2 linked regions of the Schizosaccharomyces pombe genome follow. The protein of the gene in region 1 purifies or fractionates together with the protein of each later gene. This does not show direct contact. Each region holds a gene or a part of one and is shown in the gene's direction. Other genes may lie near its edges.

Evidence for each region. Proteins that work in one complex are often made in the same cells at the same time.
Region 2: the proteins of taf51 (region 1) and tbp1 purify together in Schizosaccharomyces pombe (affinity purification with western blotting, with the first as the bait; 2 studies listed by BioGRID). This does not show direct contact.

What each region holds. Positions count from the first base shown.
Region 1 is NC_003423.3:3,032,098-3,035,855, forward strand, and holds the start of taf51 (transcription initiation factor TFIID subunit taf73), read left to right. Parts: upstream 1-1,609; 5' UTR 1,610-1,783; coding exon 1,784-3,256; exon of another isoform or gene 3,257-3,312; coding exon 3,313-3,758. Other genes in the region: protein mug98, read right to left, coding at 1-32; SPOM_SPBC15D4.13C (ASCC1 family protein), read right to left, coding at 395-613, 664-725, 792-1,125.
Region 2 is NC_003424.3:4,413,641-4,417,398, forward strand, and holds tbp1 (TATA-binding protein (TBP)), read left to right. Parts: upstream 1-1,838; 5' UTR 1,839-1,906; coding exon 1,907-2,109; exon of another isoform or gene 2,110-2,364; coding exon 2,365-2,425; exon of another isoform or gene 2,426-2,477; coding exon 2,478-2,738; exon of another isoform or gene 2,739-2,808; coding exon 2,809-2,979; 3' UTR 2,980-3,511; downstream 3,512-3,758. Other genes in the region: SPOM_SPAC29E6.06C (cysteine--tRNA(Cys) ligase Crs1), read right to left, coding at 1-279; SPOM_SPAC29E6.07 (uncharacterized protein), read left to right, coding at 1,184-1,534. UniProt on the Schizosaccharomyces pombe protein: General transcription factor that functions at the core of the DNA-binding multiprotein factor TFIID.

The sequences.
Region 1 (3,758 bases):
TCATGCTTTAACTGCATTACCGGAATGCTCATTGTGTCGACAGCAATAGCCTTTTGCAAGCAAACTATGAGATGTGTTAAAAGATGTGAATGGTTCGTTTATTACCTTCAATTTTGTCTTCCATTGTCAAATTATCAGCATGTATATGTGAAATCAATTATAATAAAGGATCTCAAAATAATTTGAATAGTTTCCAAAATTTCAATCAATTTCGAGAAATGATGGTAAAAGGAGCTATATTATATATTTGTGCTTCGTCAAAACAAAATGAGTTATAAATTGCACCGATATTACTTCTATGACCAATTTCATATTTGTTTACACATGTGACTATCATGTGGTAAACAATCGATTCCAAAAGCGTTTTTGTAAACAACAACTACTACCTTTATAATCAATCATTAACGAGTAAAGGAATTGAGGCTAACTCTTCATAATACATATTACCCGGTTCTCCAACAGCGCCTGTTTTCATAATACTTAGTTTATCAAGTTCAATATTATGAGCCCAAAGAAATTGACCGTATTTTTCCATAAAAGGTTCCGAATTAAAAAACCTGATACGTCGCCCCTGGTATTTTATATACCTGGAATTTAACAAGGTGCAGTGTAGCTAGTTTTGTTAGCAAAATTATAATTTGGTTAACATCGCATAATGCGTACAGTAAGAGGTCTAGCGTCTTTAGTAAAAAGATTGTGTTCAGTGAAAATAACTTTTAACCATTCTATGAATTAGCTTATTAATAAAAAAAATAAAAACTCCGTACCACAAAAGGCTTGTAAGTCATTACCATTATGCTTGTCCACTGGAGTAGCATACAGCACCTTGGCTTCCTGAGGAGATTTCCCAAAGAAAGAAGTTCCCTTTAAATCGATTGTAATCTTTTTCTCGCCATAGGATTTTCGGATTTCATCCTCTTTGTTGTATAAAAAATCCATGCACTTGAGAACGTCTTCGTCGTTTTTAACCGGGATCATACCAATAGTAAGATGTGAGACACGAGGGCCACGAAATCCAGATAATATCATGGGATCATTAGATGTTAGTTTAAAATACTTTAAAGATTCCTCGATATAGTGCTCAGATATCGGTAAGGCCAAGAATAACAAATTTGGATATCGCATAATAATTAACAGATTACTATGGCAAAGTATTCAAAGTAATTTATTTACGGAAAGTTGTTCTGCGGCTCAAACAAAATTCACTGATCGCTAATGAAATATGAGGTAAGAGGAAATCACTTACAAATTTATAATGTAATTAAAATTGACTACATAACAATAATCAGGCTGTACTAATAATAATGTTTAACAACGTCGTTTATATTGAAACGAAAATTGTTCTTCATCCTATCCATTGATTTACTATTGCTGAATTAACGAATTTCATATAGCGTCATTAAGAAATATTAAGTTGTCAAATCCTAAAATCGGTAGACTTATTAGTCTAATCTTTAGATGATAAAATGCGAAGCAGTTCATTTGATCATACATATATATCAACAATTCCAATTCTTAAAAAAATAAGAAAGATAGCTGCAATTATTAGATATGGTGAGTCAACGCTTCGTTTGAGTTTAGATACACAGTCCAACTAAGGATGCCAGATGGACTATTCAACACCACCACAAAATTATTAAAAGTTGTTAAACTATAGAAGAAAAATATATTATACATTCTTCTGAAAACGTGATAAGCCGAAAGATATTTTTTAACACTTCGAATACCTAGGTGGCAGTCGACACACGTATAAAAGAAGTAAACGCATGACTAACTACTAAAAATGGCTCAATCTTCCTACTCTTCTGGTAATTCAACTTCAGATTTAAACAAGATTGTTTTGGACTATCTGTTTAAAAAGGGTTATTCCAGGACTGAAGCTATGCTTCGGTTGGAAATATCCAGTGTTGGCGCAATTCCTGAAGAACAGCAAGACTGGCACATCGGTGCTTCTGAAACTTATGTACAAGTTTATATTTTATTAAGAGATTGGATTGATGGTACATTAGATTTGTATAAGCCAAAACTACAAAAAGTCCTTTATCCAATTTTTGTACACTCTTACTTAGACTTACTGCAAAAAAATGATCCCGAAATGGCAATATACTTCTTTGAATCATTTCGTATAGAGCATGAAGTGTTGCATGGCTATGACATTCGAGCATTAGCTCAGTTGAAGATTGCATCAGACGTTGAGGAGATAGAAATAGCTCAGCTTTATCGCAAAAATAAATACCGGATTAATTTCACGAGGTCTACATTTGATTTACTAGTACAGTTTTTGTTCGAAAACGAAGTCAATGGAAGTGGAATAATAATTCGCTTATTGAATCAGTACATTGATATAAAAATTACTATGCCTCAAGTCGAGGGCAAGGAGGACCCTAATGTGCAAGCGGTCTATGAAATGGACGAAGCTAAAAATGAACAGACAATAATTAGTGAGCAAGAAGGAATTCCTGGCCATTCCGAACAGCTTCTTGATTACAACAAGCAAAGCATACAACTTGGATTACGTCCCTTGTCAGAAGAAGTTGTCACAACTTTAAAAAACTTGTTAGAAGTAAAAGATAAAGACGTGGAGGGAAGAAATGAAGCTCTGAATAAAATATTGCATCCTGCAAAGAACCTTGTCGAATTGCTGACTGAAAAAGAAAATCTAATCAACGAATCAACTCTAGAATCACCATCTGATCCCCCATTACCTCCAACCAAAATGAAGGACATAGACTATTTTGTTTCTTTACTGGAAAGCGAACAGAATTCTTTAATACTCGGAAAAAATGCTACGGATCCTAGTGTTTTCATGTATACCATGCACAATACACTTTCCGCTGTAAATTGTGCTGCATTCTCTGATGACGCCTCTATGTTCGCTCTGGGTTGCGCAGACTCTTCAATTCATTTGTACAGTTCTACTAACAATGGTCCGCAACCATTAGTGGGAAGTCAAAATGAGCCTTTACAAAAGTCCTCTTTAATTGGACATACGAGACCAGTTTTTGGAGTGAGCATCTCTCCTCAAAAAGAGTTTATACTGTCATGCTCTGAGGATGGCTTTACTCGTTTGTGGTCCAAGGATACTAAGTCCACTATTGTCAAATATGCTGGTCATAATGCGCCGATTTGGGACGTTCAGTTTTCCCCTTTCGGCTATTATTTTGCAACAGCCTCGCACGACCAAACAGCACGTCTATGGGATGTTGAGCATGCAGCACCTTTGAGAGTATTTGTTGGACATCAAAATGATGTGGATGTAAGGAACTTTATTTAACTAACAATTCTTATGAGCAGTAACTAACCTTGATTTAGTGTGTTTCATTTCATCCGAATGCAGCTTATCTTGCTACAGGATCTAGTGATCATACAACTAGAATGTGGGACGTTCGCACTGGTGGAACAGTTCGCGTGTTTAATGCCCATCATTCTCCTGTTTCTGCATTGTGTATGTCTGCTGATGGCTTATCGTTGGCATCTGCTGATGAATCGGGCATAATAAAAGTGTGGGATCTCAGAAGTAGTAATCAGCACGTTTCATTCGTTAAACACTCTAGTATCGTTTATTCTCTTTCTTTTTCATATGATAACAAAATTCTGGTTTCCGGAGGTGCAGATACTGATGTTAACTTTTGGGATTTGACATACCGGAATAACTTATCGGACGGCGAACAGTCCCCGCTTTTATTCAATTTTAAAACCAAAAATACTATTATACAAAACTTAAGTTTTACTCGAAGAAACTATTGTCTAGCATTAAG
Region 2 (3,758 bases), on another chromosome or scaffold:
AATTTTGTCATCTATATCAGTAACGTTTTGTACAAATGTAATGTTATATCCAAAATAAGATTGTAAGATTCTTCGAAGGATATCAGTTGTCACATAATTACGAGCATGCCCCATATGACTAGCATCATATACCGTAGGTCCACAGCAGTACCATGTTAAGTTGGAACCATTTGAAACAAAAGGCACCTTGCTATGAGTTAAGGTGTTGTATACATAGAGCTCCGTTCTTTGTCCTTTAGGAACACCCCAATGCGATTGAGCGGGATTTCTAGTCGACATTAGATTTTTATTAAAAAAGCGACTAGAACTATTGAAACAACGAGCCACGAGTTTAAAAATCGTGATTTTGATTATTTTGTCGTTGAGTTGGGTAAAAATTTGGCAGGATAACCTGAATTAAGATAACGGAGTATTTGATGCGCAATTTTACAGGTTATTGTTAGTACTTGAACTAAGCAAGCAAAAACATTTTGCAAACAAAAAATAAAAACAAAATTTCAATACCTAATTATATTTTTCCTCATATTAAACTAGTAAAGTAGCCAATAGATTTATTTCATCTTTTTTTTTTTTTTTTTTTGACGATATTATTGCAAATAAGTTGTTGGTTTCCATCTCAGCATACCAATTGATATGCTTTGAAAATGTCTTATCCGTATTAATCTTAGTTTTGTTGAATCGAAAATATTTAAACAACTCTGGTGTCCTCATATGTTTCTGCCTTCATTACAGATCTTCTATAGTTTTTGCATTAAAGCCATTTAATTGAATGACATTGTCAAGTTATTGATATTAGATAAAAATTTGAATTTTACATTTCAAAAAGTAAATATCATGTTATCTTATTTCTTTCTGTAAAGGATACTTTAAATTACTAACAAAGAAACTTTGAAATCATATTTTAGAACAATTTATTAATATGCATCAGGAGGTTATTATAACAAAGAATGACATTTATCTCAAAAGACTAACAATGGTTTATCGTCTCTTGGATACCGTTTAAAACAAATACTTCTTTTATAGTTTAAGAAAACCCTTATAAAGACTTGAGGGATTAATGATTTGTTTTTGTTTTCTTTAATTAAAAAAAAAAAAAAAAAAAAAAAAAAAAACTCAGATCGATTTATATTTTCTTTCTGCAATTTCACATTTTATTAATTGAATGATAAAATAACAAGTAGCGATGGAATACTATATTCGTGAAACGCTAATTACAGATTTTCAGGATGTTAAGACTTTAAAAAATAAAAGAAAATGCTTCAGTTTCTTTTTTGAACTTAGATTATTTTCCCCTCAATGTTTGTTTATAGTATATTTTTTTTATTTACTACACGTGAGAATAAACACCTCTCCTTTGTTTATAAAAACTACGACACGACCAACAGCGTTAATCCATATAACAAAATACAGTGAAGCGTTAGCGTCGAGACTGCTGAAAGGGCATATGACGCAGCTCTCACTCCGTACCATCCTTCCACCTGCGCACACAAAAAATTTACATCGCCAGCAACCAACTACTTGGTTAGATAGCTAGTGCCTTTGTTCAAATTTTATACCAAAGCTTGATTCAGCTTTTCTAGACTAAATGCGGTACTTTATTTTGCACTTCCTATACTCATTTTCGTCTATATCTCGTTCGTATTGCGTTTGAAGGACTTTTTTTTGTAAACGAGAAATTTATACATAGAAGCTAATAAGAAAGTTGTAAAAACGTATTTTATAAATAAAAAATCGCGCATTTCTTTACTATTCAGCCATCGCCGCGGTTTCACAACACTCAGAAACCCTAACCCTGAAAGATCGGGTATATATAAATAAGTGCAGCAGCCGTCACCTGCAGGCTTTCCATTAGGGGTGGGATAACGCAATTCTACGAGTAGCGTAAAATAATAATTGATTTACTGCAATGGATTTCGCTTTACCCACCACGGCCTCGCAAGCGAGTGCCTTTATGAATAACTCTTCTTTAACGTTCCCTGTTCTCCCCAATGCCAATAACGAGGCTACAAATGAGACGGCAGATTCCGGGGATGCAGAAGTTTCAAAAAATGAAGGTGTATCTGGCATTGTTCCAACCCTTCAAAATATTGTTGCTACTGTAAACTTAGAGTAAGTCGTGCCTCTTTGGATAGGGAACAAGGCGTATTGCCGTCGCGGTGAGTTCATCGGAAATCTTTTGTATAGACATGGCGTTTGGGTAAGAGCGATTGTTAATGGTTATTTGATTTTTGTTTTGTTTATATTTAACTACCATGTCACGAGATTTCCGAAGGCAATGACCGCAGGGGATGATACGTCTCGTTAACAAAATTTTCCATTGAGTTAGCAAATTAGACCTTATTACTAATAATCCTCTTAAAATAGCTGTCGTCTTGATCTCAAAACTATTGCGCTACATGCACGTAATGCAGAATACAACCCAAAAGTACGTTAAACCCTTTTAATTTTGTTTGAGGTCTGTTATTGACCAAACATAGCGTTTTGCCGCTGTTATTATGCGTATCCGTGAACCCAAGTCTACTGCATTGATTTTCGCGTCTGGTAAAATGGTTGTTTTGGGTGGCAAATCCGAGGATGACTCCAAGCTCGCGTCTAGAAAGTATGCGCGTATCATCCAAAAACTCGGTTTTAATGCCAAGTTCACGGATTTTAAGATTCAGAACATTGTAGGAAGTTGCGATGTTAAATTTCCAATTCGTTTGGAAGGTTTGGCTTACTCCCACGGTACTTTCTCATCTGTAAGTTCATCATCTTTAAAGATGTTGTTGCTGTTAAAAGACGAATAAGTATCTAACTGTTCTTTTTTAGTATGAGCCTGAGTTGTTTCCCGGTTTGATTTATCGCATGGTAAAACCAAAAGTTGTTCTATTGATTTTTGTTTCTGGTAAAATTGTTTTAACTGGTGCGAAAGTCCGTGAGGAAATTTACCAAGCTTTTGAAGCCATTTATCCAGTATTGTCTGAATTTCGAAAACATTAAGGCATGTCAACAGTTATCACACAGTTTTGTGTCAATGTTCATGGGTATTGTTGGGTAAAAGACCTTAGTCGGGGTCAGGTTATTTTTTGATCTTTAACATTAAACCCTTAAAAAGCTTTCCGGAGAATCCCCTTCACTGTAAGTCATCATTTATGAGTATTTTTATATGATGCAGATGATAGAGACATCCTTTGAAAAGTTTTTTCTTCAAAATCAGAAACTGATCTGTGAGTTTCTTCTTTTACGGCGCAACACAGCTTTATTCAAGAAAACTATAGAGGCTGAAATTGCGTATCTTATTTGAAAACCTGCAGTTGATGAATGTGTGCTCTTAAAAGTGCGTGCAAGTGTCTTCGCGATACTACTTGTTTTCCTCTGTGTTTATCATTAAACATTAGTTGAGCATTGCTTCATTAAATCTTCTAGCTTCAGGACTGGTGGCCAAATCGGTACAATGTTCTGTATAGCTTTGTATAATTCATTTTTTCATGATCGTGTAATAATAATAATAATCTTTTAAAAATTGAAATAATTTGGTTTTAGTCTGAAGAGCGTATATCGACAGTTCTTAAAAAGTATTGATTCCATTCGAAAATTAGACGATTATGATACTATGGAGTTTAAAGGAACTGAGTATCTGCTGTTCCTGTAAAATACTTTAAGTTCTTAATAGCGCTAATAGAAGGAAATGCGTAAACATGAACACTAATACGGTAATCGAATAACGACGAGCCTGTGGCACCTAAAAAAAGAGTAATAAAATGAGTTTGTATAGCAAG